Linked DNA regions of Drosophila melanogaster. The protein of the gene in region 2 interacts with the protein of the main gene of each other region in a pairwise test. Each region holds a gene or a part of one and is shown on either strand. Other genes may lie near its edges.

What was found. The genes of interacting proteins can lie anywhere in the genome.
Region 1: the proteins of CG15365 (region 2) and CG5149 interact in a two-hybrid assay, tested with the Drosophila melanogaster proteins (one large-scale study listed by BioGRID).
Region 3: the proteins of CG15365 (region 2) and CG13949 interact in a two-hybrid assay, tested with the Drosophila melanogaster proteins (one large-scale study listed by BioGRID).

The regions. Positions count from the first base shown.
Region 1 is NT_033779.5:7,382,105-7,390,967, forward strand, and holds CG5149 (uncharacterized protein), read right to left. Parts: upstream 6,150-8,863; 5' UTR 6,000-6,149; coding exon 5,871-5,999; intron 4,545-5,870; coding exon 4,320-4,544; intron 4,079-4,319; coding exon 3,763-4,078; intron 3,701-3,762; coding exon 3,327-3,700; intron 3,263-3,326; coding exon 3,156-3,262; intron 3,037-3,155; coding exon 2,946-3,036; intron 2,888-2,945; coding exon 2,783-2,887; 3' UTR 2,382-2,782; downstream 1-2,381. Other genes in the region: ninaC (neither inactivation nor afterpotential C), read left to right, coding at 18-71, 654-841, 907-1,322, 1,375-1,651, 1,703-2,083; gudu, read left to right, coding at 6,572-7,188, 7,271-8,522, 8,584-8,724.
Region 2 is NC_004354.4:9,063,411-9,072,261, forward strand, and holds the start of CG15365 (uncharacterized protein), read right to left. Parts: upstream 4,574-8,851; 5' UTR 4,098-4,573; intron 1-4,097. Other genes in the region: CG10970 (uncharacterized protein), read right to left, coding at 6,344-6,655; CG44325 (uncharacterized protein), read right to left, coding at 7,182-7,248, 8,178-8,391, 8,462-8,579.
Region 3 is NT_033779.5:852,855-859,020, forward strand, and holds CG13949 (uncharacterized protein), read left to right. Parts: upstream 1-2,616; 5' UTR 2,617-2,695; coding exon 2,696-2,769; intron 2,770-2,832; coding exon 2,833-2,956; intron 2,957-3,013; coding exon 3,014-3,253; 3' UTR 3,254-3,785; downstream 3,786-6,166. Other genes in the region: kraken, read left to right, coding at 82-151, 338-424, 691-1,529.

The sequences.
Region 1 (8,863 bases), on a different chromosome or scaffold from region 2:
TTTAAATTCCCTATTAGTGGGCAAAAAGGGACCGGAGCATCATGATGTGGCCGCGTCCAAAATACAAAAAGGTAAAAAAACGCAGGTGGATAGGCTAAGAGAGTACGACGAGGAGCACATCGACATAAGCGAGACGCCCTCGGAGGCGGAGGAGATGTTCCTCGAGGCCAGAATGGATGAGGCTCTGGCAGCGGTGCGAATAGCCAAAATCGAGCAGGCCTCCGCCGAGGAATAGGCCCCTACTATATACCATTTATACACACTATATCACTATATCGATCGATACTAATCGTAATACGACTACCAATAAAATGTAGAAAACGCAAACAACCAGCTATCATCTAGTCTAGGGCCTCGGCAAACCACTTAAGCCGCTTAGTGGTGTCCAATGTGGATACCATCCCACCCCATCCCGCTGGGCGGTTGTGTTCTCCATCTGATGCAACCAATCGGCTTATAGCTGTCTGAGACATAACACTTAACATCGACGGCCCCTGCGAAAAGAGATGAATTATAAGTGCTGCGTAGAAAAGAAATGAAAATTTAATTAAATTAAGGTGACTTCCCTCTCATTCACCACCACCGTCCACCGCCGCGACCGCTTTTCAAATGGGTTACTCTAACGGCCTTCCTCCGTTTCCATTTTCCCACAGCCTTCAGGGGATTCCGCGACCGCGTCCGCCTCCCTCCGCTGGTCAACGAGAAGTCCGGCCAACTAAACGAGAACACCGCCGACTTTATCCGTCCGTTTGCCAAGAAATGGCGCGAGAAGTCTATCTTCCAGGTCCTCCTGCACTACCGCGCGGCTCGCTTCCAGGACTTTGTCAATCTCTCACAGCAGGTGAGTTCAAATCTCTTATCTTCAAATCCAATATATATATATATATATATTATATTATGTACCAGGTCCACATCTACAACCAACGAATGGTGGCTGGCTTGAATAAATGTACTCGGGCTGTGCCCTTCGAGAGGATCAATATGCGCGAAGTGAACTCCTCGCAGCTAGGACCACTGCCAGTGCCCATAAAAAAGATGCCATTCCGCCTGGATCAGATACCCTTCTATGACACCCAGTATATGGTGGACCCGGCCAATTCCATTTCCCGCCAAGCCTTCCCCAATCAGCTACTAACGCAGCACATGGAGGACGATGAGCCTTGGGACAGCCCTCTGCAACGCAATCCTTCGATGACTTCTTGTGCCCTGACCTACAATGCCTATAAGAAGGAGCAGGCTTGCCAGACCAACTGGGATCGCATGGGCGAGAGCGACAATATCTACAATCAGGGCTACTTCCGAGATCCCCAACAGCTGAGGAGGTTAGCAAAGATACTCAAAGGTTGAACTTAAGTTTCTAACACTTTTTTTCAGAAATCAAATGCAGATGAACATGAATGCCTATAACAATGCCTACAACAGCTATAACAGCAACTATAACAACCAGAACTGGGGCGTACATCGATCCGGATCCAGGCGCAACTCCTTGAAGGGCTATGCGGCGCCTCCACCTCCTCCTCCACCAATGCCCTCATCCAACTATTATCGCAATAATCCGAACCAGCAGCAACGCAACTATCAGCAAAGATCCTCGTATCCTCCGTCGGATCCAGTTAGAGAACTTCAGAACATGGCTCGCAACGAGGGTGATGTAAGTGTATGTCAATTTCCTAAGGAAATTCTTCAGATATTTTCTTTCCAGAACTCTGAGGATCCACCATTCAACTTCAAGGCTATGCTGCGCAAGACTAACTATCCGAGGGGATCCGAGACCAACACCTATGACTTTAACAATCGCCGCGGATCGGACAGTGGTGACCAACACACGTTCCAGCCGCCCAAGCTACGCTCGACAGGTCGCCGGTACCAAGACGATGAGGGCTATAATTCATCATCGGGAAACTATGGTGTGTCTAGGAAGTTTGGCCAGCAGCAGAGGGCTCCGACCTTGAGACAATCTCCAGCCAGCGTGGGTCGCAGCTTCGAAGATAGCAATGCTAGATCCTTCGAGGAGGCAGGATCCTATGTAGAAGAGGAGATTGCACCTGGAATCACTCTTTCAGGCTATGCCGTCGATATCTAAAACTAGTGATTAAGAGTAAAAATATTAAAATTAATTGTTATGCAAACCATAAGACAATTTAGCTAAAACCCACCTAAAATTCCAAAATAATGATTGAAGTTTTCTTCATCACTTTCTCAAAAACGTTTCACACAATGGAATAAATAAAATGTCTTGGGATAAATCGTTATTTAAATTTTCACTTTTTTCTTACCGCATTTCATTTTTCTATCTCTATAAACCACTTAATTATTTAGGTTATTTGTAGGTAAATGCTACCTTGGCATACTCAAACATTTAACTTTAAAGACATTGATATAAATTCAGCAATTAATTTGCATTTTATTGACGTAGGATAAAAATGGGAAAAATTCGACGAATTAACATTGCTTATTATGCTTGCTTCTTTGTTACATCATTTAAATGATTTACTTTTCTCACTTTAAGATCTAAAACGCAACAACAATACTCTCAGTATTTCATAAACTATATCCATTATACATTGTATATATAAACATTAATACCTAAACAAAAACGTTTATAGGAATGGATTGAACAAATACTCTTTTGTTCGCAGGACTTTTTTTGTGTGTTCGATAGGGATTGCAAAAAAGCTAAGGAAACTGAATTGAATCATTAACTGCACACCCATATCGGGCATGGTCTCACAAATTCTCGATGATAAAACAAAACTTTTTCCTTAAATAGTTTCACATAATATCAATCATCCATGTTGGGCTCACGCAATCCATCCGAGTGCATTTTCTTGCCCGCAATTTCCAACATGGCCCGATCTTCCAAATTGCCATCCAGCACAGAACGTTTCTATGGGTTAAAGATATGATTATTTATTTAATATAATATTGAGTTTAATTTGACATACGTGACCGTCGCCTTCTTCGTCTTCTTCTTTAACTGGTAAGTCTCCTACGGCCCAAACTTCCATGTTTCGTATTTTGAACTGTTTCCGTTTACTTGGGTACGATAAATAATTGGTAGATTAACCACAATTGTTTAAAATAATGTTGAATTAAAATATAGAATCTAGTGGTCTGTAAGGTGAAACATAATCAAGATTTTAATTTACACTCACCTCAACTGCACGTAGTCTCGATATGTAGTGCAACTTTCAACGCTTTGTCCATCGCCGAAACTGCAGTCAATCCAAAGGCCCCAAAAATCAAACTGACCGCCCATGCCCTGTATACGAAAAATATAAACATTTAGCAAAGCAATCAATCAATTAGCTATAAACATTACTCACCAGGCCATTCGGCATAGTCTGCTGATTCAAATTCAAATACTGATAGTGATTGTTATAAGTTGTGGCCGAAAAGCACCGCATGGCAGGGCTTAAGGTGTAGAGCAATGAGCTGTCATCGCCTCCAAATTGCGGTTTCACGGACCACGTTTCGGACGCGTAGCCGCCAAATATATATTGATCCTCGTCCTCAATAAAGAACAGCGTTGGTCCTTTGTCCAGCACTTTTCCCAACATCGTCGAGAAGCTTTCCCCGTTGATTTTCGATGAGAATAGAAAGCGCCATTTGTGCCGATGTTCGCGGGGCAGCTGAGCATTGATATACAGGACGTGAGGTAGTTCGATGATAGGGCGATAATGACTATTTTGCGGAGCATCTGGAAAATAGGAAAAAAGTTATAAACGATTTTAATAAATTTAAAAATTTTCTTTGTCCTACCACACAGTGCTGGCAGAATTGGAATTTCCATTTCCTTGATTATGTTGCGTTTGCTGCCACCATGGCGACAATACAGCTGGCTAAAGACCTCGCGCCAAATCTGCAAAAACTGCGGAGTGACGTGTAACCAACGTTCCAGGGCATCGTTGGGCATAGTGTGCTCTAGCTCCTTGCCCAGATTTCTCATAAGGCCCTTGGCAAATGTGGCGGCGGACCTTTCCGTGGTGTTAAAGCCAAGATCGTGCCACTCCTTGATGCCAGAGTTTTTCGCTGTACTTTCCAAGTGCACGTAGCTCTTGATCACCGAGTAGATATACTGGGGAATTATAAAATTGATTAATTCGCGAGCAAAAGATAAAAGAATTAAATAAACAAGTTGTTCATATGACAGCTAAGAAAATAAACGTGGAAATCTAGTTTTCAGGATAAACATAAATGGAGAGCTAAACCTAATTCAATAACAAACATGTTATGAATCCTAATGAGGCTCGGCTGACAGAAGTTATAAATATTATTTCCGCGATCTGATGACAATGACTACTTATTTATAGACTCACTTGCTCCAATTGCTTGCTGTTGAAGGTGTCATTTCCACTTCTCTCCATTGAGCCCAGGAGCATTTGCATTTTCTGGTCAATAGTACCGCGTTCCATGATGTAGTAGGGCTCTCCAAATTTCTTCAGCTGAAGGTTGACACATTGCTGACCTGGCTTCGTGGGCGTAAATAGATACTGAGCCGTACTTTCGGCCAGGGATCTTTCGATGGTTTGCGACCAAGTTTCCTATTTTCGAAACAAAACAACAGATACATGTATATGTGTGTACATAAACAAAATGCGCGCCGGATACGTAAACATAATTTTCCCGCTGCTGTCAGCAAATTCTTGCAGGGAACGAAGGTCTGGGAAGCGCTGACACAGATTAACCCATTGAAGGACGTACAATGAATAATAATTTGGTTTGACTGAAAACAAAGTCTCTCAAGTTTTATGAAAATAAATACTACTTCAATGTATGTAAAGTTTCAATTTAGAGAGTTTCCGCTTAAATTACTCTATATGAATGCAAGTCTTATAATTTCCTCATTCTAAAAATCAACTATTTCACATGCCATGCTGTAAACGGGTTAAGCATATGGTTTATTTTTAATTCAATTGGGTTTGGCCCTAATTGACGACCCCAGTCATTGAAATCACGACTAATTCGTTAGCAAGCAAATTCAACAAAGCAAAAGACAAACAGTGAAATGCGGCAGCAAACAAATTAGACAAATTATGGACACGTTCGCACTGGCCCAGGAATTATCAATTCGAAACTGATAACGCCCGAGTTGAAGATATCGAATTTTGCTATACCCTAGGAAGCGCTGTGATAATCAAACACGAGCTATAAATAGATGGAAATATTATAAGGAAAAATCATCATCTGGTTACAAACAAACATTTTTTGAGTGGTTGCATTTCCGTCATCTGTGCTGTGATAAAAATAAAACACAAATCTGGGGCCTTGAACCCGCATCGGAAAAATTATAGCATAAATTGTGTATGATCAGATTGATTTAACTAAATGGGTTAAAATAACAATTTTGGAAAGTTACGTGTACATTTAATCTAAATAGGACTGACTAGTTTAGAAAATTACATTTTTAAACAAGTTGAATAATTTACTTTTTATAAACTCTGTTAAATTTCCTGGTTTGCACTTTAAATCGAAAAAGAACTGTATTAAAATAAGGTTTAGAAACTTTGAACTTTTGTATAATGCCGGATAATGTTGCGACTCACTCTCTTATATAACTAAGCTTCTTTTTCGGAACATAGTACTATGATTAACTTCAATGTTTAATCCTCGAAATAGGAGTTAGTGACAACAACAAATTAATGCCCTAAAGGATATACCCATTCAAGTGAAGGGTGGCCATCGCAGCAGGTGGATGGACGGCCGTTTGTCATGCACTCGAAAGTCCCGATTTCTCTTTTTTTGCCGAAGAAAGTTCACTCCGCGCGTCCTTGAACTTGTGACCCTGACCCTTCCGCAAATGCAGAATGCAGTTGCCATTGATTTTCGCAGTGCACACGTGGCACGGTAACTGGATTTACTTGACTTACCACCAATCTGTCTTGGGTCAACTTCTCAAGTGCTCCGCCAGAGGCGTTTTTGTACGCGGATTCCAGCATGCGTAGCTCTTCCGAATTGTAGAGATTATCCGTCTCCCGCTTGCCACTCGCATTTCCCATCTCAGGACACGAAATTCAGTTGGCTGGTGCTACGACGGCTGGTAAACAAACAATGCAGCTGCAGCTGCGGATGATCGCGGATTTTAATTGAAAATAAAAAACAAACAACACAAGCTGGTGATGGAATGGCAGTCGATTTCCCTGCGATACCCTCGATAGTTTCGGAAACGGGTAAATTTCGCGGTGGTCGTCTGCACTATGAATGGTTATTGTCTGTGCTAAGTCAGGTCGATGTATTTGCTAAACGGTTAATTTTAACCGCTAAGCGAATTCAACGAAGGCCAAGCGAATAAAATAAATTTTAAATGCCTTGGATAGCTGTAGTTAAAAATTTATTAAAATAAAAAAAAACTTACAAGTTTGAGCTAAGATACCTTTGCCCTAGCCCGGTATTTTTGAAATTATCTCAGTTACCTTAGCAACACGCCTTATTAAATCAATTGCCTGGCCTAATAAAGTTCTCCCACACAAAAACACAATAAATTCCGATACAAAACTGAAGAAAGCTGGCATACCGACAGATATTTCCGGAATACGATTGGCCAAATCTGTGAGTAATCCAACGCGAAAGGATGATTGGCACTAGCAGCGGAACGTCCCACAATCGGAGTCGAAAGAAGAAAGAACAGTGCGGATCCTGTCCCAACAGATTCTCAAAGGATAAGCGCCAGGTGGCCGCCGAGGACTCGGATACCACGGAGGTGGAATCGTCTACGGATGAGGAGGAACGCTGGAAGGAAGTGGCGCGAGCCGCTGAGATTCCGGCTGACTATTATAATATCCAAAAACTGGTGAAATACATCAAGGCGGGCAATCAGACAGCCACTATAGTATCGTTGTGCTGCTTGAAGGACTACGATCTGAGCACCCAGATCAATCAGTTCGCCATCTCGGACATCGGCGGACTCGATGTCTTGGTTAACATCCTGGAGTGCAGCGACACCAAGTGCTGTTTGGGCGCCCTCAAAGTTCTCTCAGATATCACACTGAACATCGATATTAGGAAGACCATCGTAGATCTGGATGGCATTCCCCTCATTGTGGACATCCTAAACTCTTCCATGAAGGACCTAAAAACCATGGCCGCCGAGACATTGGCCAATGTGTGCAAGGTGCGACTGGCCAGAAAGTATGTGCGCACCTGCGGAGGAATCCCCAAGCTGGTGGATCTCATCGACATCAAGTTGAGGTGAGTTGGCATTGGATAAAGTGCTTCATACTACATCACCACATATAAGAAATAATTAAAAAAAAACCTAATTATATTATAGCATTCTAAAGACGCCTCGTGACCAATTGAGTCCAGATGATCTGGAATCTCTCGATATGACACGCGCTGGAGCCCGGGCTCTTTTCACTCTGGCCGATTCCAAGCACAACATGGAGCAGATGCGCAAGAGCGGAATTGTTCCTTTGATGGCTCAGCTCCTTAAGTCCTGTCACATCGATGTCGTCATTCCCATAATGGGCACCGTTCGAAAGTGCTCCTCGGAGCCGAAGTTCCAACTGGCCATCACCACCGAGGGCATGATTCCCGACATTGTGAGCCATCTGAGTTCCGAAAATACCGAGCTGAAGATGGAGGGCAGTACAGCGATCTACAAGTGCGCCTTCGACGGAACCACCAGGGATTTGGTGAGGGAGGCTGGGGGCTTGGAACCTTTGGTAACTATCATAAAGGACAAGAATGTGAGGGAAAATAAGCCTTTATTGAGAGGCGCCACTGGAGCGATTTGGATGTGTGCCGTAACCGATGCAAATGTCAAAGTGCTGGATCAACTCAGGACGGTGAACCACCTGGTGGCCTTGCTAAATGATGAGTGTGACGAGGTCCTGACCAACGTGACCGGAGCTATATCTGAATGTGTGAGATTTCAAAGCAATAGGGAGCAACTGCGTCAGGCTGGAGGATTACCAGCAATGGTTTCCCTACTCAACAGTTCTCACGCCCCTCTTCTGGAAAATTTAGCCAAGGGATTGAAGGAGTGTGCCGAAGATCCGGACAGCATGAGAATCCTTGAGGATCTGGATGCGGTCAGGCTGATATGGTCGCTATTGAAGAACCCCACAACTAGGGTTCAGGCCCATGCGGCTTACGCCATATGTCCCTGTGTTCGAAATGCCAACGATTCCGCTGAATTGGTCAGGAGCTTGGTTGGCGCCATGGAACTGGTGGTGGGTCTGCTAAAGTCCAAGGATATCATGGTCTTATCCGCCGTTTGTGCTGCCATTGCAACAATTGCCCAGGATCAAACCAATCTAGCCATCTTAACCGATCTGAAAGTCATCTACAAGCTAGCCGATCTCGTCCAGACCACCGACGACCTCCTTCGAATGAACTTGGCAGCTGCCGTGGCCGCCTGTGCCTGCTTCGGTAATAATACGGAGGAACTGGGACGTCTGCGTACTGTCACTCCGATTGTCACCTACATGACCAGCGACAATCCCTTGGTGCACCGCAGCACGGCCATGGCACTGGAGAAGCTATCGATGGATCCGCAGAACTGCATTACCATGCACCAGGTACATTTCTTCTACCTAATCACACTTAGCAACTCATTTAGATTCTTTTATTTTACTTCAGAGTGGAGTTGTTCCTTTCCTGCTGGAGTGCATTGGATCCACTAACAAGGAGCTCCAGTTGGCCGCCGCTGGTTGTCTGCGCAATATCCGCGAATTGGCCTTGCGTGCCGAGGAATATCTGCTTAAAATCGACGATGACTAGCTTCCTGTTTTTTTTTCTTTGTTAAGTTATTTAATTGTATTTGACGAAATATATGTGTGTATGCCGATGCTACCAATTTCTTGCATTTTTAGCAAATAAATTAATAAGTTAGTAAATTTTTAAACCAGAAATCCCAGAA
Region 2 (8,851 bases):
CTTCATTTCAAAGAAAGTCGTCAAGTGCTTTTCGGTTTGATTATATATATATATATATATATATATATATATATATGTATAAATAGCTTCTTTTCATATACTACTGCCCTCCCTTTTTCGCACTGTGCAGCTGCTCCGCAATCTTTGGACGTGGGAAAGTTCGCCCACGTTTTTCTTTTTATTTTATTTTTATTTATTTTCTTTTTTTTTTTTTTTGCTTCTTTTTTGGATTTTTATTGTGCGATCTTGGATCTAGGATCAGAGTCCGATCCAAACTGCCCAGTTGTGCTTGGCTGGATCAGTGAAAGCTCGCATGCGGCATGTGGCAAGTGGCATGTGGCATGACGACCACTTGGATGTGGAGCTGGAGCTGCTCTGCATTTGTAATTGCCCGGGTTGCTTTCTGGCCGGATATCGCAGGTTAATTGAGCGAAAAAAAAAGCGCGAAAGGCAACAGCACAGTGTATGTATCATAAAAACCCGATTTGCATGTTTTTTTTTTTTTTTTTTTTCATTGGCCATTGGCCAAATGTGGTCAAAAGCCAAAATAAATATGCTGGGCCCAAGTATTCACCTTAAGTATATGTATTATGCGAGAATTTTGAAACATTACGCCAACGCTAGGGCAATAATTTAAGGTCAATTGGGCCTACAAAGCCGACTCGGTTTGCTATATATAGCGAAAGAGCTCCAAATAACCATTCTTCGAGTTAGTTTTTTGTGTTATTTTTTGTGTTTTTTTTTTTCTCGATTTTTGGCAGCCCGCATTCACGGGCCATTCAAAAAACACTCGAAAGACCCCAAAAGTTATAGATGGATAGTTGAATGGTTGGTTGGATGGATGGATGGATGGATGGTCTTGGATTTGGATTTGTATTTGGATTTTACGCTGTGGGTGTATTTGTGATATTTTTGTATGGTTTTGTTCATTTGTCGGCTGGTAGAAAGCAACGAGCGGAGCAGCAGTAACCCGTTTAAGTCTCATGAATAGTTATTCCAACATTAACCGTAACAAAAAATGCTCGGCAACAAAATTAAAAATACCTTTTGCCATGCAAGTTATTAATGAGTTATCTGCCTTGGTAATTGTTATTTTTTTTATTATTATTATTTTTTTTTTTTTTTGCCTTTCTCGCTTTCAAGATATATGTACGTATGTATATACATTTAATTTTTTTTTAAGGGGGGAAATGCAAAAACATGAATTAATGCAGCAAATGAATGGTGAGAAAATCTGTTAGCGAAGTGAGTAATTAAATGCAATGCGATAAGAAGTTCAACTTAATGAATGTGCAGTGAGTGAAAGAGTGAGGATTTACAGTTTGATGGAAGAGGCAAACAAATGTTGTTTAATAGCAGTTGAAACTAATATAATTTATATTTCAGCTAATGAGTGAAGCAAAAAACTGAACACACGCTTTATATTCAAATGAAGTACGCAGTTCACTCAGTGAATTTATGTGAATAAACTCCAAATTGCTTGAGTTTTTGATAGAACAAGATAGAATTGAATCTAAAAAAAAAACACACTTGCACATCTACTTTTGCTGCCAATTTCGCGTTAACTGCCAATTAAGAAGCCATTAAGTGATCTATTGGCTAACTATTGCATACAAAGTGGAAACTATTTGTTTGAATGCATAATGATTGCAACACGATTCAATCAAATGAATCACGATGGATAACTATGTGTAAAATGGGGCTATATAAAAAGCAGATTGTGCGGGCAATAAAACAACAGGAGCGTGACCTTTATTATGAGTAATAGATATTTGTATAACGAGGGTGTAAAATATTTCATTCGAATAAAGGTTAGGTTCATTTATCTATGCTTTATGACATATATTACCTAATTGCGCATACATAATTACAAAAAAAATATATACTTATACCAAAAAGCAAATAACATGAATGTAACGAATATGTTGTTAAATCAATAGTTTTGACCCCATTCCTCAAGCAATTCGGCCCATCAATCATTGTCAATAAACTGAAGTGTTGATTGAGGCCTTAATGAGACACTTTTAATTATTTGCCAAATAATATTGTTTGTAGTTATCCTGTTAACCAAAACTAAGGTTGTACTTCAATTTAATTAAATCTAAACTGTTTTGCCATTACTCTTATTAATTAATACATTTATCGATGCTCTTGTTCAGTTGGATTTCCTCGAAGAAATCGCGATTTTCTCAATGGCCCGCCGGCGTTGATGACCTGAATCTAAGTGGGCATAGCTGGCTGGCTATATGGCTATATGGCGTTGTGGCCACATTCGTGGCCCAGTCGCTCCGAGCCAGCTTCATCTGCACTAAGCCACGTTATCTTCTTTCACTTGAGCTTCACCTACATTGGAAGGCCGAGTGGACGGCGGACGGTATCAAAAGTGATCATAAATCTTTATAACCTGTATGCGCTGGATTTTCACCAACTGGCTTTTTTCTTTCCTTTTATTTGGATGGGGGGTATGTGGTACTCTCTTCTGGGTTCTGTTGTGTGTTTTTTTTTTCACGAAACTAAAAAGTGAATTTCTGCTCTTTAGCCTTCAGCCTCCTCCGCCGACGATCCCCTGTTTTTATGTTATTTTTTTTTTCATTTCTTGTTTTTTTTTTTTTTTTTGTTTTTCATTTTTTCCTGCCAGTTGACGTTTGTGTGTTTTTTTGTGAATTTACTCGTATATATATTTTTTTGCGCGCACTTGGCCTTAATTGCGCATGCGCGCGCACTTTCAATTCCTTTGGGGCTCGCAACAAAGAAAATGAAATAAGACAAAACATAACACAACTAAACAAAATCGTGTGGCAAATTGTGGCCGGGGCAGAAATTAGATTTCAAGCGCGGCGATAATGATGCGGCAGAGTAATAATAATAATTTTTAAAGGGGCCTCGAGGAGGGGCCAAATCCAAACGAAAATTGCTCTCAACCCAAAAGCAGATTGCACAGTGAACAAAAAATCAGGTCTTTGTCAAATATATTATAGAATATTATTCTAAATAAGTAGTATTTCACTTACAAAAACATATTATATTGCCTTCTGTTTACTGCATTCACTAAGGATATTCATAAACTTTATATATGAGTATATTTAAAATAAAGATCGTTTTTTAAGAGGTATCTAGGGGATTGTTAGTGATCTATGTATTTCACTTGCATATTTATTAGAACCACTTTATTTTTCTGCACTTGACATTTCAACATAAAATCGCTGAATTCCGTCGGAACGAATTAGAGATTTTCCAGGTAAAATAAAGCGATTTAAGGCCAAGTGCAACTGGCCAACCCAACCCAGTAAGCAACTCGGCCACTTCGGCGACCATTATCCATTATCCATTATCCATTATCCATTATCCATTCCCCCCGGGTAGAACCCGCAGTTTCGGATAGGTCAAGTATATGCGGCACTTTATGGGCTTTACGAGTGTAAAAAAAAAGCAAAAAAGCAAAAGATTGAGAAGAGAAAAGAGCTCAAAGACAGATACTTGCTTATTTCTAGAGGCTGACCAGAGCATCTTTTTCATCTTTTTTTTTCATATATATATATATATATATGTATATATATCTACTTTTTTCACCAGTTTCGTATATATTTTCGCTGTAGTTTTTGTTTTTTGCCTGTGGGGCCAACAGGTTCGCTGGCAGTTGGGAAAAAGTCAAACGGCTCAATAATCGAAGACGACGGCTCAGAGTTTTTGAGTCCGCGACTCCGAACTTCAGCTCTTTGAGTCCAGATAAATGAGGACAACAACAACAGCGACAACTTTAAAGAGGTTGTGCGTGTGCCTGTGTGTGTGTGAGCCAGCTGGGATAGGCACACTGTGCGAAAAGAGCATGTACTACTTTGTTCTAATCAAGCTAGGCAGGTCGAATTCAAATTGATTTTAGCACGTTTTCAATTTCAAATGCCACATAATAAATATATTATTATGTTTAAATCTTACAATTTTCAACATATTCTATTATTTTCTGTGTACTCCATTCGAATTAAAAAAATCAGCGAAACCAAAATAAACGAAAAATCAGACAGCAACAAGAAAAAAAAAATACGAAAATATTTTAAGCCCAACGAAAGAATAACAAATGAATGGAAATATTTGCTCACCTCTTCCTTTGGTTTTTAGTGCCTTGTAATCGCTGTTGTTGACTCTTCAAATGTGTGTGTTTTTATATTTTGTAAATTTTCTTGGTTTTTTTTTTTTTTTTGATATTTGTTTATTGCTTGCCCGCTTGATGTGGCTGCATTATATTTCAGCTGTTGCCGCTGAAAGCCAACGGAAAGCAGGCAAGTTTTCAAATTTGCACAATGAAATTGATTTTACAACGCGTAAAATTCCACAAATTATGCACGAAATGCGTTTTGAATTGCACTCAGCCACCACACTCGAAAAAAAGGCTGCCATTCACCGCTCGCCGCGAAGCGTAGCCCAAACCCCCCCAAAAAAAAAAAAGAAAAACTAAAAAAAAAAAACCGTTGCACGCCTGCGCTTTTCAAAAATCTTCCCAGTTCGCTTCGAAACTTTCATCCGCAACGTTGGCCCTCCGTCGACGACTTTCGCGTTCCAGCGCTCAAAGCAAACTGAGCTGCAGAGCGTCGGAATTGGAAGCAGCGAACGGCGACTGCGACGCGACTGCGGCGCGCCGGCGATCAGAGATGAGAGCTTAGCTTTTTTCAAAAGCTTATAAAAAAAAGAGTCATCTTCGAAATGACATTCTCATTCGATTGCAAACGTTTATGTGTACGAATTACTTGAAAATTGAAGAATATAACTTGTACTTTAGAGATTCATGCAGTTATTTAACTTGTTGGCTAAGGATTCAATCACTTTCATAAGCATATTTTCCAAAAGATCAATGTATTGTGTACTAAATGTAGTAGCTGTTTCTCATACTCTTTACTTTTTATAACTTATAATTATACTAATTATGCTTCTATTGGTGTTATGACGTACAGTCAGCACTGATTGCTTGCGAATCGGATTGGCAATCATTGTCGCCGTTCTTTCCGGTTTGCTGGCGTTGCCACAGCGCTGCAATTAAGCGGCTAATTCTGATTTTGGATACCGATTCGGATCCAGACTTGGGATTCAAACATATGTATAAACATATATGTTCGCGGCAACCGCATTAGTCCAAGTCGCAGTCGCCGCCTAGGTTAATTTCCCTCAATTTTGTGGCTTTTCGCATATAGGTTCATTGCTTACATTCATAGATACACAGCGAGAAAATTGTATTACTTACAGATAATTCTTTAAAATATTTAATAGTATTTGATATTTAATAGTATAGTATTTAAAATTTAATAGTATTTAATATTTGGTTAGTTTCTTCACTGGAATATATTTGAACCTTAAGATTTCTCAGGAGGAAGGATTTTTATACCAAGGATTTTTTAATTTCCTCTGTGTAAAACACACTTGGCTACCTGTTGCACACACACACACACACACAAATTCTAGTAATGGCCGTCCGCAAATTGACCCATAAAATTGTAACGTTGCTTGAGCCAAGATAGTTTAGCTGTCCATATATCACTGCAGATACACGACACTGGCCTACAAAAGAACACTTTGATAATTCCCCCCGATGTGCAGTGTTGAGATGGTAACGTTTTGTGCTTAGCCGACTAAGATGATCTTCTTAATATAGAAAAACTAAACTTCAAATCTACCACTTCTCACTGGCCTGTTAACCAGTGCTATTTGGTTGAGAAGTCTGGAACTCAGTGAATCGGCAGTTGTATCCGCGAACGCATAAATAACCATCCGTGGCTATATGTTCGCTGTTGTCCAGTGGTACACCTTCATCGTGTCGATCGAGGTGGCGATCAGATTCTTCGATTTGCATGCCAAACAGCCGGGAACATCGCTAGCTTACTACGAGTATATGCATCCGAGGCATGCGATTCGATTTGATATCCGATCGCCGGCGGCGATGGCCACAAGGTTATCCCCTCCCACGGATCATGGACATCATTAGCTCATTCGTCACGATCGCAATGGGTCCTAGAACCAACGATGGAGTACTCGTAAGTGAGAATCCATGGGTCATTTGGAGAATTGCCCAGATCCAGCAATCGCAACAATAATCATTCAATCCACAATGAGCCCATGAAAAGTTTGGCATTTTCATACAGGTTCTTCTCTTTGGGAAATTGCTTGTTGTATAAATCAGCTCTTTAGGAAACTCTTTTGAATTTGTGATTATATAACTGTGTAATTTTTATTTGGAAAATACCTTGTTATATCCATACAACAAAAATATTAGACAAATCATAATGGATAAAACTTTTGATAGCCGTTTTAAACAAAATTATGCATTGGAAATATTTTATTTTGTTTGATCCTTTAATCACTTTAGGTTCACCTTGATTTCGAAGGTCTTGTAGGTGTATTCCTGGATGACTTTCAGATTCTTAATAATGAACTCCTTGATGGCCTGCACGTAATCGGCGGCGGCCAGGATGAGCTTCTTAAAGGCATCGATCACCTTGCCCTCGCCCTCCAGACGACCCTTGAACTTCTCCTCCGACACCTGGGCAATGAATCCCCGCAGTCCCAGTGCATTGGCCTGGACCAGTGCAAACAGCTCGAAAGCATCCTTGGGCACCCTGCCACGCACCTCAAAGTCACAGCACAAGATCTCCTCCTTTTGGCCTGCCATCTCGAGTAAGATTGAATTTGCCAAAAAAAAAAAAAAAAAAAAAAACAGGGTGTACAATATGTAGTTTCGAAGGTCACACAACCACTCGATTGACTTGATGGCAAAGTCTCGGCGCTCTGTGACCCTGACTTTGAACCTCCAGATCCGATCGTAATTGCCTCCAATTATCGTGTATCCATAATCGCCACAAGAAATCAGCGGCAGCAGGTTACATTTCCAGCAAAAAACAAAACAAAACAAACAAACCCTCTTGTAAACTTAGCGCAAGTTTTTAGTTAAACAACAAAAGAAAAAAATGTGTAAATAGCAACATAAAAACAAAAAAGGGGATAGAGAGAAACATACAAAGTATAAACAAAAGTAAATATATAAATCACAAGGCGGTTTCAAGTCTTTGGCGTTTTGTATGTGCATCCGAATCTTTGTATCTTAGTATCTTTGTATCTTAGTATCTTTGTAGCTTTGTATCTTTGTATCTCAGCGGCTCCGTATCTCTATGCTTTGCATCTCTCTTAGCAGGCCCATCCTAAAAGCGATCTATCTCGACTTTATTTTTCCTCGACTCCTCCGCCAAAACGGGCACCTCCTGCCGTCTGCACATATTTATGTACATTTTTTCACAGAGTTGTCATGCGGATGATAAAAATAAAAAAAAAATAATTACAAATTATATAAATTGCTTAATTATGATAAGCTTGTGGCACGACAACAACACAGCAGCAGAACGAAGAAAAGTTGGCAACGGGCAAAAGCAACGAATGGGGGCAATACTCTTTAATAGATGCAACATATACGCGCAGCACTCTCAATTTTTTATATGCAAAATTTGACAAGTCAAAGAAATATCTTTTAAATGCGCATGCGACATGCATATAAGTTAAGTATTTATGTTGTAAGCTTCTTATTGAAAACTTCTAGTTAAATAAACAAAGGGTTTATCTGGTGTTAATTGAAGCGCTAATCCCTGATTCTTAGAAGTTTACAACCATGGATTGGCAAAGCGAAGGAGTTGACCACCATTTAATGGTGGGTCGCAGTTGGAATTTGAATTTGAATGCGAATTGGAAACACAGTCCATTGGGATTTTTGCAACAGTTGCCGGCACGTGACGTCAGGACCGTGAGTTTATTCATTTTTTCGTTTTCCCAGAAACTTAGCCCTCTGGCAATTATGGCCCATTATCCCGGCAGCGGAATGGCAATTATGGTGATGTAAGACATGGTCAGATGTTGTGAGTTTAGCATATTATAACCACAGATAGCTGGAATGTACATATATGTTGTGTATGTGTATATATTTAATGGATTCCTGTATATAATCTGCGTGCGCATATCTGAGATTAGCTTAAGACACGTATAAATACATATAAAACGCTCGTAACACACAGCTACAAAAAAAAATGTTACGTTAACATTTACAATAGATTCTTGTTTCATTATGCTTATCAACACGAGTTATTCGATTTGCGAAAAAAAAAAATAAACGGATATGGAGTACATATACGACGAAACGGAATCTTTACGTCCGGCAGATGCAGAGAGTGTCCAGAAGGAAGACAGCCGCATTGATGATCATCAGGGAACCGGCTCCAATGGCCTGGCGCTTCCTATCGGTATTCAGGAGTCCGCCGTGCCACTCATCGATCACCAGTGCTCCGGAGGCCACGAACAGCAGGCAGCCGATCAGCGAGAATAGGGCGTTCAGGCGCTTCTCCACCAGCGAGTTGAGCACATGACCTGTCAAGGAATCAGGAATCATCTTGTAAGGATACTGCGCGATATCCATAGTTATATAGGCAACACTCACCGATCAGCAGAACGCCGCAGATGACGGTGTAGCCACCAACGGTGCCGGCCACAATCACCGGATGGAGGGACAAGTTACCAACCGTCTCGTATAGCACAATGCAGGCGATGGCGATGGCCTGGCGGATGAGAGAAAGATCAGACGATATGATTAGCAGTGTTGTGAAACTTTATAGGAAGCAAATCTAGAACTAAATAGTTTCTTGACGCTTTTTTGTTTTTACTCGAATGAAAATGGTCTCAAAGCTAAAAGAATAACTGTTTTAAGCAGCTAATTATCAATACTAACTATACCTATAAGATTTGGGCGGATTTGTTAAAATTAATTTTTGGATAATTTTTTGATTATTTTTTTAAGGTGTAACATCGTCAAAATATGCCAAAAATGGCC
Region 3 (6,166 bases), on a different chromosome or scaffold from region 2:
CTTTTTGAGATTCCCCGAGGCAGGAGCTCGCCCGATCCGCGTCCAGCATTACGGAGCACCATTTGCGAGCAGCAATTAGCCATGGGCCAGACACGCGTGGCAGCAACAACAGCGGCGCAATCTCCCGCGGCGGAACTTTCGCCAGAGACAAGTGAGTAAACCGGAGGAGGAGGTCGTGGTCAGGTCACCGACTCGCACGCTCTGCGCACCTGAGTCCGAAGTTTCCGCTGGTTGCGCTTCACCTGGCCCGCGGGCGATTTCACCAGACGCAGACCATTTCGTCACAGCTTGCTTTGGTTTTAGTTGAATTACTTATGTGGATTCCCCCTGCTTTCAGATGGCCAGACGGAGGAGCCCCTGCAGCTGCTGGGCGAGGACAGCTGGGAGGAGTTCTCTATCGCGGTGCCCTGGGGAACCGTTGAGGGTGAGTCACCTGCCAGCCGTTTCCTAATCAACAGCATCGACCATTCATGGCAATCCGACGTGATTTTCGATGTGACGCGGCTAAAATATTTTGTTAGTTTCGACGCACTACAAGTGTTCTACTAACTGAGCCCAATAACGCTATCTCTTTGCTTGTTTTTTGAGTAATATTTTTTGGAAACATCACGCGATTCCCCTGAACGATTAACATACACGTGCTGAAACCAAGTTACATACATATGTACTAATCGATTTTCCCGCTTGCAGCCAAGTGGTGGGGCTCGAAGGAGAGGCAGCCCATCATCGCCCTGCACGGCTGGCAGGACAACTGCGGCAGCTTCGACAGGCTGTGCCCCCTGCTACCGGCGGACACCTCCATCCTGGCCATCGATCTGCCCGGGCACGGCAAGTCGTCGCACTATCCGATGGGCATGCAGTACTTCATCTTCTGGGACGGCATATGCCTGATTCGCCGGATAGTCCGCAAGTATAACTGGAAGAACGTCACTCTGCTGGGCCACTCGCTGGGCGGAGCTCTGACCTTCATGTACGCGGCCAGCTTTCCCACGGAGGTGGAGAAGCTGATCAACATCGATATCGCGGGTCCCACGGTGCGCGGCACCCAACGGATGGCGGAGGGCACTGGCAGGGCGCTGGACAAGTTCCTGGACTACGAAACCCTGCCGGAGAGCAAGCAGCCCTGCTACTCGTACGACGAGATGATCAAACTGGTGCTGGACGCGTACGATGGGTCCGTGGATGAGCCTTCGGTTCGTGTGCTCATGAACAGGGGAATGAGGCACAATCCGAGCAAGAATGGCTACCTCTTTGCCAGGGATCTGAGGCTAAAAGTAAGCCTGCTGGGCATGTTCACCGCCGAGCAGACGTTGGCCTACGCACGCCAGATTCGCTGTCGCGTGCTCAACATTCGGGGTATTCCCGGCATGAAGTTCGAGACGCCACAGGTGTATGCGGATGTGATTGCCACGCTGCGGGAGAATGCCGCGAAGGTGGTCTACGTTGAGGTGCCCGGCACCCATCATCTGCACCTGGTCACCCCGGATCGAGTGGCGCCCCACATTATTCGATTCCTGAAGGAGGCGTAAGATTCCATTACTTAAGTAGACGGCTAGATAGAGAGTACTGTGTGTGTATATAGTTAGTGTATTTCATCCCACTTGTGATGTACAGTGATCAAAGGTATGTGCCCGATTTGCACGGCTCTAAATGTTATAACAGATAATAAACACAAATTTATGACTAAACAAGGTAAAGTCTTTTCGTCACAGCTTTGCTACTTGGACTTTGTGCGGCGAGTTAGCTGTTTAGCAAAATATCTTCAAAGTAAATCTTTTAATAGCTACTATTCTCTTTTTAGCAAGTCACAGTTAAAAACACTTTTATTGGAGTGCTAAGCGAGTTTCGTGGTGAAAGCCCTTAATATTTAATTACCCTTATCTGATTGAGACGCAGACCTTTTCTCGACCTTTGAACCAAAGTATTGAAGGTCTCAAAAGATATCTAATGCTATAATCATCGCCTTTAGTCATCAAATTAGACAAAAAGAAACTTTAGGTAGTCGCGCCTAAAGTCGTAATTTGATTAAACAGAGATTAAAACCTGAAGGTGTAAAAACCGAAAAAGGTTCCACCTAGAAAATAAACTTGCGTCTCCTAGATAATGCTGACGTACATACATACATATATCTTCTATGAACAATAGAGCTATATAAAGTGAATATATATCAACTCTACGATAACTCAAATGAAAATTAATTTCGAATAGCAAGACAGTTGACAAAATTGGTTTATTCGAAAATATAATAAATCATGGGGAGATAAACTATCGCATTTTCCTATGTAATTACTTTCGCATTTATTGACTATTCAGATAAAGCTGAAATCTTTACAACCAACTGATATCGAAATAAAGGGTTCTCATTAACACTATGAAAATTGTTATGTTTGGTATGCTTTTTATTTTAGCATGTATCAAATATCTCCTTTCTCTTGTAATTTAAATTTGAAACCAATAAAATTTTTTTGGAGTGTAAAATAGTATTTTTAAATTCCATGTAAAATATCGTTGGCACTTAAGGGTTCATGCTACCGCTATATTTATCTATCTACGTGGCAACTCCATTCGTCTCCAAAAGTTTCCCCACGGCTGGCAACGCCTCGTAACGGTTGCCAAACAAATTACCGTTGCATGGCAACTCGTTTGTTTGGGCTTTTGTTTACAAATTTACAAAATCCGTTTGCAAGGACGCACAATGGACCTCATCAAGGAGATCAACGACAAATACATGGCCCTCGAGGCGGAGATCGACCAGAAACTGGAGAAAGTGTAGGTTGGTCATGGCACTGTGCAAGGATGATGTTACATACATATATTGGACTACATCTCTAGGCAAGCCGAGGAACTAAAACTGGAACGGCAGAACGAGCAGCTGGCCGAGTCTTCAATCTGTGCACCTGCTCCCAAGGTTCTGTCCTACGAAGAGGCTCTCCTGCGAAACACCAACACCTTGAAGGTAAGCCATCTCTTGGGATATCAGAGGTTCATAAGGTTGTTCCCATTCCCATTGCAGGCTCTGGAAATAGCCAAGGCCCGTTTGAGATCGCGTTCCACGTACTCTCCCGTGGAGAAACTCCTTCAACAGGCCCTGCAGAACTACCGACGGGAGCTGGAGAGTCTGCAGGACGCAGAGGATAGGGGCAAGGATCCGAAGAACCCAGACAACCAGGAGGAGGAGGGGGAGGAGGAAAATCTCTATGATCTGGTCATGCAGAATGTGATGGAGGCCAAGAGGCAACAGACCGATCTATAAGACATGTATTTCCCTGGAACTCGAGCAATTCGTGTGGCCACATTTGATCCAGTTGTATATATTGTTCACAAGTGAGACACTGCCAAGCTGAATAAACAAGCCGCAAGTGTACACATTTGCTGGAAATTGAATCGAGAAAGGTAGAATGCGAATGGGAATGCCAAGTGAAATGGGGTGTATGCTCACACATTCTGTTCCCACTTCAAACAATGATCGAAATGGAGCAAACAACGGTTGACGAAATGCAGCCGCAGCGGGCCACCTTGTTGCCATCCCAATCATCTAAGTGCCCCATCGACGACGATGTTCCCACCCTCGACGTTATCACCGCTGGAAGTATTGTGTATCTGCCAAGGCGAGAAGATATCTCCTGCAGTCAGGCAGGCAACATTAGAGCAAACACATTTACCTAATTAGTTGGCCATCTAACCACTTGGACATCGCCAAATCTGAGTGGAGCACGCCGAAAGGAAGCCCAGGCAATCAACTTGGTAATAAATCAATTAATGACACTCCGTCTCGTGCGAACATCAAAGAAAATTATGACTCTCTTGGCATGTTCGCCTTGTCTTCTGATAAAGTCGCCGGCGATAGCGCGGGTGGGTCGAAGGTGTCACTTGTCAGCGGTACAGCCGGGGTCATAGAGATATAAGCGATACTTATAACAGGGATTGTACCATAATCAGCCAAAAACTGTAATGGTGGGATCAACGAGTTTCTTTCTCTTCTAGGCATTAGATCAAATGGTGATCTTGGGCAGCCTATTACCTTACTACATTTCACCACTATCGTAGTGACCTGAGCTGTGAGCTGGCCTGAATGGATGCACCCGACCGGGGGTCGCAGGCAAAGGGAGCGGGCGAGAGCCCTCACCTGTGCGCACCACTACCTGTTCTGATAAGGCCAGCTATTGAGACAAATTGTGGGGCGACAGCTCCGTTTCCACTGGCATTTCCATTTCTATTTCATTTTCTTCTCAGCCCTTCGGCTACGTTGACAGCGGCGTTTAATGGCCAATACAAAGACAGCACGCACGCTCGGATGTGAGTGCTATCTCGGAATATCACCCACTTTCTGCTCCAGTTCAATATTTCATATTTATTTGCTTTCCGTTTCTGTTTTTCGGCTCTCCCGCTCCCGCTCCCACTCCTCTGCTGCTCGTTGCCGAGCTCCTGGCATTCGCACCTGTACAGGTGAGATATGGGCAACCGATCGACGATACTGGGTGTACTTCGTGGGGCCCCGATTCTTGGTCGGGAGCTGGTGTTTTAAACTTCACCGTCAAATCCGACGTTTCAGTTACGTTCCGAGTCGCGACAAGTGCATATTGTGCCGCCCGATCCAACCGATCGGCGGCTAGATATGGAGCACCCAGTGTGGAGGTGGCGGTGCCTACGTGTAGCTACTCCGACATGGAGCCATCCGAAACCCCTTCCGGGCAGCGAATTACTTGGGCCAAGGGAATGCAAACTGTGATCATCCCGAAAGTTTGTTCGTTTGGCTTAAGTTATTTTCATGTCCGACTAAAGCGCCACGTGGTGGAGATCGGATATACAAGGTGGATATGGTGGCCACCTCCCAAGGAAGTTGTCTTTCGGTCTGCTAACAGCTCGAGTGAACTAATGAGTTGGCCACGCTTGGTGATCCCAACTGGGTACGTCAGCAGGTGAGGATCGGGGGTGGGTCTGAACCCCATGAGCAGCGCCTCCTCGAAGGCCCATCGATCTGGAATGATTAGCCTGGCACTGATACCGAGAAGCGACGTGATTCGCTCCGCTCCCAAATAGCAGACGCCGGCTGATTAAATCCGCCGCCATACTCGGCTTCCGTTTGGGTTTCGGAGTCCGACTCCGACTCCGACTCCGAATCCGAATCCGAGTGGAGAACTGCTCTTCGGCTGGGGCTGGGGCTGGGAATCGGATACTCCACTTGGTGCGCTGGCACGGTCGCTCGGGGCCGTAAACCCATTATCACTATATTGGTTGTACGATTTGCGGATCCGTCGCCAGTTGGCCGACTGTAAAATCTGATTTCTGTAGACGTGTCGTCGCTTTGCCCCAACCGATTCGATACGGCTGGGGAAACTGACTTGGGAACGAGATAAGAGCTCTGGGAACTCTGGGAGCACCGAAAGAAAAACATACACAGTGTGCTGATCATTTCGAGGAATTATCTTACCACCCAGAAACTTATTTGATATGTCGATGATTATACGAGCTGATGATTGAAGATATATGAAGTAGGTATATTGAAGGTATCTTTTTTATCTATTTTCTTCCAGTGCAGTGGGGTGGCAAAGGGCTTTGTGGGTAGGGCAAACGTGGCACTCTCTCTATAAGGTAAAAAGGTAGCCGAAGCCAAACTGATAATTGTGCAACGTACACAAACCTTGCTCGCATTGCTCCACTTGCTTTCGGTTTATCAGTTGGAGTGACAAGCGGAAATTAAAGTTGAAATCGACACGATTATTTCATTAGTTCTGTTTGCGAAGGGCCGAACAAGTGGGCGGAGTGATCCGAAAGGTCGGATCCGAAAGGCAGGAGCTGGCAAGGTCACCCGGATGTTTATATTCGGCAGTCTAGTTGCCGATTGACGGATTGATTGTCAGTGGCCATAACTAACCAATTAGCGATTGCCATTCGTAGCAGGCAAAGCCAGGCACATCTTCGGATGGTTGGGTCGGGTGGGTCACCAGCTGGCCCGGGTGCTCCAAGGTGAAACGCAGCCAGAAATAAGTGCGCCCAGCCAAGTCGAGTTAAGCTGAAGACTTGGACCCAATTCGATCAGGTGCAAGCGACAGAAACAGCGAAGATGGCATAGACAAACAGAGGCCACGTTTTCGTTGGGGGAGTACAGTGAAGCCTCCAAGCAGGACCCCTCCTTTCGAAGAGATCTTAGATCTTAGATCTTGAT